Linked DNA regions of Notamacropus eugenii. The main gene of each other region encodes a partner of the protein of the gene in region 3 in a complex. Links are inferred from orthologs where the notes say so. Each region holds a gene or a part of one and is shown on either strand. Other genes may lie near its edges. The genes, in order: BMP7, BMP2 and NOG.

Region 1 (3,748 bases), on a different chromosome or scaffold from region 3:
GTGTATTTGTCACAAAAATAGTGGAACTATTTTGCTTCTAGTGAAAAGTACACTTTTTGGAGGCTGGGGTTTCATCCTTGTTCTGTCACTCTGAGCAAGTTACTTAACCTCTCAGCTCTTTTCTGTTCCGTGGGACCAATAATACCTACCCTTCCTACCTCACTGGATTATTGTGAGAGTCATGTGACATAATTAATACACGTGAAAGTACTTTGAAAAGCACAAAGGTCTATACAAGTAGGGGAGGTCCTGTTACTTTGGGGATAATATTTTTCTCTTTATTTAGCATTTTAGGCCACTCAGAAAAAGTACTGTGTGAGTACATAAAAGGTAGTAGAGGTAGGTGCCTACCTACCTCACCTTTAAAGTTTTGTTTAAATACCAATTAATTGCCTTCAGTTGGTAATGACCTTCCTTCCCTTAGACTTTACTTAGCTTTTTGTTCTGCATCTTCAAGCACTTAAGTAATATTGTGTATTTAGCTATCTGTATTGGTGTTTTATCCTCCCCAGCTAGATTCCTTTTGCAGGGACCTAATATATTCTCTTCCTTATGGCTACCAGTGGCCAGTATATACACTGAGTACACTGTAGGCATTCAGTAAATCTTGTAATGGATTATTCCTCTTGTCCAGGCCCCTGCTTCAGCTGGAGATCAGTCGTAGTAGTCATATTTGGCCTTCCCAAAGAGAGGCTCAGGGTGGAGCCACCCTACCCGGGAAAGGAAAGACCAGAGAAATGTCAGCTTCAACCTGCTCTTCCCTGTCTTCTGCTTCCCATGTGCGCATCTATTTCTTTGGGATAACAGCCCATGGCTAGAGTACTAACTAGAAAGAAGAGTGTCATCTGGGTTCTCCCTGCTCCTGAAGTGGGGGGGGGGGGGGACACAGAGAAGAACCACAAAGGGAGATCACCTCAACTCCCAGACCACCTGTTGAACCTTTGAAGCTCCCAATCCCTTGCAGGAAGGAGAGGTGGTAATTAATTTGCTTTGTTAGGTCCTTTATCCTCTAGCTCTCCTGACCTTGGGCTAACTATCTATGTAGGTCAGGGCAGACTATAACCAAAAAAACCCACACAAAAAAAATAAAAAACAAAAGGCAGCTATCCTTCTTGAAGTGCTTCCCTGGGATCCTCCCCTGGCACTAATGGCAGCAGCTGGTGGGTGGGTGGGGCAGAAGGGTGTCGTTGCTGGCAGCTTTCCTGCCCAGAATGTTTCTTCCCTTGGGCGGGAGTGGAAAGTGTGTGTGGTGGTGGTGTTGGTGGTGGTGGTAGTGGTGCTAGTGGCAGTGGGAGGTGAATGGGAGCTCCTTCTATGGACAGCAGTTTGAGGGGGGAGGGTGGTAAGACGGAGATAGATAGTAGGCTCAGGTGGGAGGGTGGTGGGGGCACAGTCATATTTCTGTCCCTTTTCCTTTCTTTCCAACTATTGTTATTGAGTTCTGGAAGGCTGCAGGCGCACTCTGAAACCAGCTTCTAAACCACTTAGGTTAATTTAACTGCTTGTGAAGAGCCCACCCTGCTTTGAGCCCGGAGCCTCCAAAACATCTTGAAAAGAAAGCCGGTGAGCTCTGGGTCATAATATGGTTTTCTTCTCTAAGCAATTTGGAGTCTGTCTCTCTGTGCGAGTGAGCGCGTGTGTGTGAGTGTGTGTGAGTGTGTGTGTGTGTGTGTGTGTGTGTGTGAGAGAGAGAGAGAGAGAGAGAGAGAGAGAGAGAGAGAGAGAGAGAGAGAGAGAGAGAGAGAGAGAGAGAGAGAGGAGAGAGGAGAGAGAGAGAGAGAGAGAGAGAGCTCTGAGTTTTACTGGCTGCTCCTCCCACAAGATACAACTCCCGCTGCCTCTGTCTGCAAAGCAACATTCAAACACCACTTTGAGACTTGGTGTGTGTGAGAAGTGAAGAGAGGAGAGCAGAGCTGAGGACCCCCCCCCCCCCCCCCCCAAGAATTGAAAGCCAAACTCAGTCCGCTGGGGAGATTCATCTGTCGCCTGTCTTCTCTATGTGGATTTTACAATCTGAGGGGAAACAAAAGCAATATTGAACAAGTTAGCCATGAGAAATGCTTTGCAGTGGCTCTCTGGGGAAGTTGTGTAGCAAGTGACCAGGGCTCTGAAGCAGCCTCTCTTCCCTCTTCCCTCCAAACTTTAGCTGTATTTAATGGTCAAGTATTTATTTGGATCCCCAGGCTAGCCCAGTTGCTCTCTTTCTCCCCTTCCTGGAGAGCCCTGTGAAGCAAGAGAGATGCATGTGGTGTGGCTCAAGCCGGGACCCCCCAGCTTCCTGGTCCTTTGGTCTCCACTTTTTCTACTGCTGCGCTCCATCCTGGCCGACTTCACCCTGGATAATGAGGTGCACTCCAGCTTCATCCACAGGAGGCTCCGCAGCCAAGAGCGCCGAGAGATGCAACGAGAAATCCTCTCCATCCTGGGTTTGCCCCACCGGCCCAGGCCCCACCTCCATGGCAAACAGAACTCAGCCCCCATGTTCATGCTGGATCTCTACAATGCCATGTCAGTGGAGGAGGAGGTCGGCGGAGAAGAGGGCCAGGGGTTCTCTTACCCTTACAAGCCCATCTTCAGCACCCAGGGTCCTCCGCTGGCCAGTTTGCAGGACAGTAACTTTCTAACTGATGCAGATATGGTCATGAGCTTCGTCAATCTGGGTGAGTGGGGTCAATGGAATTTACTTTTCCCACACAAGGTGGGACAGAGGGTATGGGTGCTCCAAGGTACCTCTATGGGAAGATGATGGGGAGGAGGCTGTTTAACGAGCAAAGGAGATCTCCACTCTCCTTTGTGGAGTCACTAGGGTGAACTGAAAAGGGGATTTGGGTTTTTGAGGGAAATAGCAAGGACTGGCTATAGAAAAGGCTCATAATTTTATTCTATCAGATCGGAGGAAAGCAGAATTTCTTCCCGAGATCGCTTTGAAGTAGCTCAATTTCTCTTTGCTGTAATGAGGACTCATATCCCTTTAACTGTCTTGAGTTCCCCCTGTTCCCCACACCCTCTCACCAGACACCTTTCTTCCCACCTGAATTCCTCCTCCTTCCCAAAACAGAAAGCGGATGTTTTTCTTTGCCGGGTCTAAGGCGAACGTGGACTGGGAACGTTCCCAGGTAGGGAAACCCAGCGTGTGAGTGTGTGTATGTGAGTGTGTGTGTGAGTGAGTGTGTGTGTGAGTGTGTGTGTGTCCTCACAGGGAATGTCTTCTGAAGTCTTTCTCTCTTTCCTGGCTGTTGTACCTCTTGGGGGAAGATGTAAAACCGGGAGAGGCAAAGAGCTAGTGAGATTCGGCACAGTTCAAAGCATCAGGCTTTGAGTCATGTGAATGCTCCCAGCTAAGGCAACTGCAAATGGACAGATCCCAGTGGATTGGGGGAAGCTGCCTTAGCCAGATTTAAAGGGCCAAGCTTCTGTTAACCTGCTTTCCTAATGACTTTCTCTCTCTCTCTCTCTCTCTCTCTCTCTCTCTCTCTCTCTCTCTCTCTCTCTCTCTCTCTCTCTCTCTCTCTCTCTCTCTCTCTCTCTCTCCTCTCTCTCTCCCCTCTTCCCCCCCCCCCCCCCCCCCCCGTCTCTATCTCTTTTTCTCTGTCTCTTTTTGTCTCTCTCTCTTACCCCCTTCTTCCCCTCTCCCCCAGTCTAGTTGAGGTCATTTAACATACCTTTCTGGTCAAGCTTCTATGAGGGGAGTTCTCTCTACTATAAAGTTATACCTGCCCTTTCGTTTGCCTTCTTTGCACCCCTTTAA
Region 2 (3,748 bases), on a different chromosome or scaffold from region 3:
TGAGGACTAGAGAGACTCATTTGGTTAAGTTCATCTAGTTGGTTAATGGAAGAGTTAAGCCTCTAACGCAGGCCTCCTGATTCCTATGACCAGTGCCCTTTCTACCAGAGTATGCTATTTCCCTTCCTGATCACATGCCATGCCTTTTCTTCTTGGGCCTCACCTTTACCTCTAGTCTTCTACTACCTCCCAGTATCCTCTTCTTGGATTATCATTTCTATCTTCTCCTCAGTGGTAATGTGGACTCTGCCCCTAGGTCTTTCAGCTCTAAGAGGTGAACATTTGCTGTATCTTGCCAGGGACCCAGAATTCCATGCCAGTTCCTGGTCAGGTCCATGCCCTATAGACCATACTCCCTTCCCTTTGCAAGTTTCCTCTAAATGCTATTTTACCCTCAATAGAATGTAAACTTCTTTGGGACACAGGGTGTCCCAAAAATCTTAGCGTATTTTTAAGCTTTATTAAAGCCTAATAAAAGCAGCTAGGTGGTACAGTGAACATAGGGTTGGACCTGGCATCAGGAAGACTTATCTTCCTGAGTTCAAATCTGGCCTCAGACATCTACTAGCAGTGTGACCTTGGCCAAGTATCTTAACACCATTTGCCTCAGTTTCCTCATCTGTCAAATGAGTTAGAGTTTTGCAAACCACTCTAGTATCTCTACCCTCCCTCCCCCCCCAAAAAATCAAAACAACAACAACCCAAATAGGGTCATGAAGAATTAGAAATGACTGAAAAATGACTGAACAAAACAGGAAAAGTCAAGTAAAGCTTAAAACTGCATTAAGACTTTTGGGACACCTTGTATTTTAATCCCTGTGCCTAGCATAGCTTTTGCTATATAGTAAGTATTTATAAATACTTAAAATTATTACAACTAACAATGAGACACTTTACCTAATGACATATCAGAAACACAAAAGCCCCAAGTTATGCCACCTACTTTGAACTTTTTCCTCAGCAAGAACCTCATGTATCATTCCTAAATTGTTAATTAGCTGGGTGTGAATTAAAGAGGTTTCCTTGAACTCTGTTGCACAACATCACTTAATCCCAAAGTTCCTCTTACCTTAGTGCACAGGATGGCTACCTGGGGAATGGAAAGTCTTCTTTAAAATATTTAAGTTACTACTACAGAGTTAGGCATCAGAGAGACTGGGGCCTATTCATCTTTTAAAATACTTTGATTTGGTTTGCCAGGGGATATCTGATTGTCAATTATGTTTGAAGGAAGTGGGTGTGACCAAGGAGAGTAATATTTCTTCCTCTGAGGACAGTAAAAACCATTGGTACACATGCTTCCTTTTAATTTGCAGTGACGAGAGAGCCGGTGATTCAGAATATGCACATTGCAAGAGCAACATTCATGCCGGTTTCTTTTGTAAGTCACAAAGTAATATTTCTTCCCTGTGGCTGAGGATCGGGGCTTGATCTGTGTTTTTTGGAAGAGTTGAAACACGTGAAGATCATACTGAGGCCTTGTCAAACTGACAATGTTCCTTTGCTGAGTGAGTACATCCCCCCTTCCCATCATTTCCAAGGCAAGTAAGTAAGAAGGTTGGAAGTTATGGTAGTATTCCATTATGGATTAGATAAACTGACAAAAACAGTCTTGTCATGAATTGAAATGTTTTGTTTTGTACATTTTGGTAATATCTTGAAAGCAGAAAGTGAGAGTAAAACTGTTAGCTCTGTGTTAATTTGTTAATGTTGTTATTAGATTTGAAAGACGTTTGGGTATTTGATTGGGAAGTAAGGCCACTTATTAGCAAACTTGAGGGAAAAGAACCTAAGTGACAAGGTAGAAATAAGGTAATACAGGAACTGAAGATATTTGCCTGATTAAAAACAGTTGCTGAGCTCTACTAGAAAGGTACACATTGTTATCTTTTCTTTTTTATGGACCATAAAAAGCAGTGGTAGATGAAAACACGTTTGTGAGAACTAGGAGAAATTTATCTAATGATATGTTATTGGTTTTGTATGTGTGTATCTGTATACTTATTGAGATAACCTGTTTCCACATGTGGACAAAATATACAGTATGATCAGTTAAAAATAAAAACAAACAAATAAAAGCTAACTCGTTTTCTACATTGTGTTGGCTTCGTGATAGCAAACGGTTAATTTGATTGAAACTTTAATGTTACTTTAACAAAAATTAACCAATTTTCTGAGTATTTACATCTGTTTAGAGACTATTTCTTCAAACAATTCTGAATCAGAGATGGTTTTATCCATATGTAGTGCGTGCACCCATTTTCCTGGTATGGTGTCAAAGGCTACCTACTTTCTATTCTGGAATCAGAGGACTTAGGTTTAAATTTTACCTCTTTGTGTCTTTGTGACCTTAGGCAAAACTGAGTGTGTGTATAAAATGAGGAAGCTGGATTATCTGCCCTCTGAAATCCTTTCCAGAATTATATTTAGGATTCTACGACCCTAGAAGTAGAGTTTGATGAGAGAGGGAAGAAAAGAACATAGGAATATTGGAAACCTGAGAATGGGGGGGGGGGGGGGGAGGGAGAGAAGGGCATAAAAGAAGCTGAAAGAAGCCAAAGAAAACCCTTTCCTATTTTACATTTGGCTGGACAAGGTTTAGCCTGGTATTTAGTCTAGTATTTAAAATATCCATCGTACCTGATAACCGTATTTGATTAACAGTTGAAATTATTTTTGATAGATCTTTTAACACTGATTATGGATTTCTCTCATCTTGATCCTCCTGTAGAACACAGGCAAATTATTTTTTCCAGGAAATTTGCAAGGGATCTCACCAAAAGTTGGGGAGATGGAAGGCACAGGGGGATGGGGGAAGGGAATGAATAATTTTTGTTGATACCTTCCAGGGTAAGTGTGAGTTTGCTAAGCAAAACAATGGTGGAGCTCTAGCACAAATATTAGTTAAGCCATTTCCTAATCAAAGAACAACTCATGAAAGAAGGGAATTTTTTTTTTTTTCTTGCGTGAGAAATTTGTTATTCTAGGACAAAGGCATTCTTTGGCAAATATTTTTAGGAAGCCAGAACATTTGAACTTATTACTTTCGATAGGTCTCTTTTCAGTATGTATCCCTGTGGTCTGAGCTTAGCTGTAAAGGCTCTTCCTGGGATTTGAGACTCCTGTGATTCTAAAAATTGAGTTTATGAGTCATTGAAATGTTCCGTATCTCCACTTATTCTGTATTTTGTTGCCAGACTCAGGAGAAAATAGTTAAAACAGAATAACAGTCACCTGATGTAGGGAATCCTAGTTTCATAGGTCATTATCTAGCATACTTCTCATATAGCACAAGAATTCTCTTTTCAGCATCCATGATAGATGACTATCCAACCTCTCCTTAAATACCTCCAGTCATGTGGAGATTATAAAACAGCCTGCTATCTATTGCTACTGATACTATGTAGTAATACATGTTAGAATATTTTTATACTATGCCAAAATCTATCTCTCTGTACTTTATTAGTCCTAGTGCCATCCTCTGGATTTACACAGTTTAAATGCTGCAACTCTTCTACATCTGTGCATGCCTTTATTCAACAAATATTAAGTTGTTACTATGTGTAACATAGTTTTCCATACTCTGAAGCACTGGTAAAGTAAACCATATTTTAAAGAAAAATTTTTAGGTGAAGGAGAAAAGAAGATAGGTCAATGGTAAGAGTGACACATGATCATTAGATAGCCATAGGGCTCCACTGATAGGCTTGTGATGTCAAGGGAAAACAAAGAAGGCCCTCCATACCAT
Region 3 (3,004 bases):
CGTCCAGCGGGTCGCAAAACTCGGCGCAGCCTAAGCTGCCGCTGCCCGGAGTCTGCATCCAAGCTCATTCGGCTCCTCGGGGGTGGAGAAGTGGGGGGGTGGGGTTGTTTGGGGGGAAGAAAGGGGAGGGGGAAACGAGAGAGAGAGGGAGAGAGAGAGAGAGTCAGTGGTTTCCATGGTGATGGAGCTGAAAGTGCAGGAAATTTAAAGGCTTGGACCCTTCGAGACAGACAAACCGGTGCCAACGTGCGAGGAGCCGCCGCCGCCGCCGCCGCCGCCGCCGCCGCCGCTGCTGCTGCTCTAGCTCCTGCTCTCGCTCTCGCTCCTGCTGCTGCTCCAGCTCCTGCTCCGGCTCCTGCTCCTGGTCCAGCTGCTGCCTTTGCCACCGCCGTTATCGCTGCTGCTGCTGCCGCCGCCGCAGCTGCCGCCGCTGCTGCTCCTGTCCTTGCTGCCGCTGCCGCTACTCCCGCCACCGCCGCCGCTGCTGCTGCTCCTGGAGACTGCCCTACAGAGCCCCGAACACCAGGCTGGGGGGAGCGCCCCCGGGACCCCTACACAGGAGTACACTCACCCTGAAGCGCCCCTGCCGAGAAGCAAGGCAGCACTGTGAGCAGGAAACGAAGGAGGAGAGGGAAAAGCCACGCCACCGCTACCGAGCGAGACAGGCGAGTCCCCGCGCCCCGCGCCTTCTGCAGTCCGGAGAAAGAAGAGACGAGCCAGGGACACCCCAGCCACGACCGCTGTCCTTGGAGTCACTTTGGATGCGCCCCTTCCCCAGCTAAAAAAGAGAGGACGAGTTAGAAGAAAGTTCACCCACCCCTATCACCACCCTCGGTGGGAGAAAGGAGGGCAGAGGGACCAGGATTTTCTCCCATGCTGTCGGTCCTCCGCTCCCCTTGGTTTTGGTGAGCTGCTCCCGAGAGGGAAGACCGCCTGAGGGGGCTTGGCGTGATTTTCGTCCGGGGGGTGGGGAGGGTGGGGCGGGGGACCCAGGGAGATCGCTGCAGCCCCAGCCCCGCGCCGGAGGCATGGAGCGGTGCCCCAGCCTGGGGGTCACCCTGTACGCCGTGGTGGTGGTACTGGGGCTCCGGGCGGGGCCGGCGGGCTGCCAACACTACCTCCACATCCGCCCGGCCCCCAGCGACAACCTGCCCCTGGTGGACCTTATCGAGCATCCGGACCCTATCTTTGACCCCAAGGAGAAGGATCTAAACGAGACGCTGCTCCGCTCCCTGCTGGGGGGTCACTACGACCCGGGTTTCATGGCCACCGCGCCTCCAGAGGACCGGCCAGGCGGGGGTGGGGGGGCCGCCGGGGGCGGCGAGGACCTGGCGGAGTTGGACCAGCTGCTGCGGCAGCGGCCGTCGGGGGCCATGCCGAGCGAGATCAAAGGGCTGGAGTTCTCGGAGGGCTTGCCCCCGGGCAAGAAACACCGGCTCAGCAAGAAGCTACGCAGGAAGTTGCAGATGTGGCTCTGGTCGCAGACCTTCTGCCCAGTACTCTACGCGTGGAACGACCTGGGCAGCCGCTTCTGGCCCCGCTACGTGAAAGTGGGCAGCTGCTTCAGCAAGCGCTCTTGCTCCGTGCCGGAGGGCATGGTCTGCAAGCCGGCCAAGTCGGTGCACCTCACTGTGCTGCGGTGGCGGTGCCAGCGGCGAGGGGGGCAGCGTTGCGGCTGGATCCCCATCCAGTACCCCATCATTTCGGAATGCAAGTGCTCTTGCTAGAACTCGGGGTCCCTCTTGCCCAGACCCCAACTCTCGATCCACCCCCTCGCCGCCCTCCTCACCCCTATTCTGCCACCCTCCCAGATCGGATTCAATGAACTTTTTTTTTTGGCTACAGAGACATAGCTTTCTGGTTCATGTAATGCACTGTTAACTGTGTAGGAATGTATGTGTGTGTATATACGGTCTCAGTTTTAATTTACTTATTAAAAGGTCAGTATTATACGTTCAAAGTTACCGGCTTCTACTGTATTTTTAAAAAAAGACAAAAGGAAAAAAAAAAGCAGAGAGAGAGAGACTGTTATTCTGGTTGTTGCTAATGTTACCCTGCTATTTATATCCAGAGCACTTCGCCTGGCGAAGCAGAAAAAGTTATTTTTTTTTTAAGTACAAAGATGAGAGGGGGAAAAAAATTTTTTTTGTAGAAGGACTTTTAAAAAGAAGAAGCTATTTTCCATTCTTCGGAAAGTGTTTTTGTTTGTTTGTTTTTTGTTTTTGTTTTCCTTGGATCTCGCAGAAGCTATAGAGTTCAATGTTATTTTACAGCTATTGTAAATAGAGAGAACAAATGGAATGACTAATCATTGTAAATTAAGAGCACCTGCTATTTATTCTTTATAATATCATCCCGTGTAGTAAAAGAGAGAGAGAAGTGCAGAGCAGAATTAAAGTCAACCACTAAAACCGACTCTGCGCCTGGGCACTGCCAGTCTATTTGTTGACCCTCTTTCCTGGCTGGGGGGGGGGGGGGTGGCCGGTGGGCAGGCGGACCTTGGGGGAGGAGGGTAGTGGGGTAGGGTGGGGGTCCTCACGTGGGTTTTCCTTGAATGGAGAGAAGGAGCCTCTCCAGCTCCCAGGACTCTCCTCCATTGGGGGTGAAGAAGAGGTTATCACCTCCTAATGAGTTTCTCAGCGGCCGCTGGCGGGGTTAGGGGGGACAGGCAATGCGGTGAAGTGAGGAGGGGGTGCACGGTGATGTCAAATCACCTCTTTTTGGAATCACATGGCTCCTTCCGAACTCCAACTTTTTTTTTTCCTCTCCCTGTTACTAAAACTCCATCTCGTCTTGACCTCGACACCCAGCCGGCCTCCCGGAGCTGACCCTAAGCTGGGCTGTGGGACGGGGGGCGGGGAGTGGGGGGAGACAGCCGCTTTGTCCTGCCTGACAGGCTGTTCACAATGGGGACACGTGTCTTTCACACCTACCCTGGGGGCGGAGTGCAGCTGAAACTTGACCCCCTCTGAATGGGAGGGGGAAGAGGGGAGGAGGGAGATTT

Evidence for each region.
Region 1: the proteins of NOG (region 3) and BMP7 are in contact, whole or in part, in a crystal structure (PDB 1M4U), measured with the Homo sapiens proteins. The link is inferred for Notamacropus eugenii from reciprocal best matches to the Homo sapiens genes NOG and BMP7. Residues at the interface, in NP_005441.1 of Homo sapiens: His29, Tyr30, Leu31, His32, Ile33, Arg34, Pro35, Ala36; in NP_001710.1 of Homo sapiens: Phe365, Pro366, Leu367, Asn368, Ser369, Asn375, Ile378, Val379.
Region 2: the proteins of NOG (region 3) and BMP2 are in contact, whole or in part, in a crystal structure (PDB 7AG0), measured with the Homo sapiens proteins. The link is inferred for Notamacropus eugenii from reciprocal best matches to the Homo sapiens genes NOG and BMP2. Residues at the interface, in NP_005441.1 of Homo sapiens: Ile33, Arg34, Pro35, Ala36, Pro37, Ser38, Asp39, Asn40, Pro42, Leu43, Val44, Asp45, Leu46, Ile47, His49, His199, Arg204, Arg206, Pro219, Ile220, Gln221, Tyr222, Pro223; in NP_001191.1 of Homo sapiens: Trp310, Asp312, Trp313, Val315, Ala316, Pro317, Pro318, Gly319, Tyr320, Ala368, Ile369, Ser370, Met371, Leu372, Tyr373, Lys379, Val380, Val381, Leu382, Lys383, Asn384, Tyr385, Gln386, Met388.

Annotation. Positions count from the first base shown.
Region 1 is NC_092872.1:508,737,075-508,740,822, forward strand, and holds the start of BMP7 (bone morphogenetic protein 7), read left to right. Parts: upstream 1-1,483; 5' UTR 1,484-1,563; intron 1,564-2,017; exon of another isoform or gene 2,018-2,183; 5' UTR 2,184-2,239; coding exon 2,240-2,660; intron 2,661-3,748. UniProt on the Homo sapiens protein: Growth factor of the TGF-beta superfamily that plays important role in various biological processes, including embryogenesis, hematopoiesis, neurogenesis and skeletal morphogenesis.
Region 2 is NC_092872.1:578,460,071-578,463,818, forward strand, and holds the start of BMP2 (bone morphogenetic protein 2), read left to right. Parts: upstream 1-1,380; 5' UTR 1,381-1,508; intron 1,509-3,748. UniProt on the Homo sapiens protein: Growth factor of the TGF-beta superfamily that plays essential roles in many developmental processes, including cardiogenesis, neurogenesis, and osteogenesis. Induces cartilage and bone formation.
Region 3 is NC_092873.1:368,509,921-368,512,924, forward strand, and holds NOG (noggin), read left to right. Parts: upstream 1-974; 5' UTR 975-1,028; coding exon 1,029-1,727; 3' UTR 1,728-2,415; downstream 2,416-3,004. UniProt on the Homo sapiens protein: Inhibitor of bone morphogenetic proteins (BMP) signaling which is required for growth and patterning of the neural tube and somite. Essential for cartilage morphogenesis and joint formation.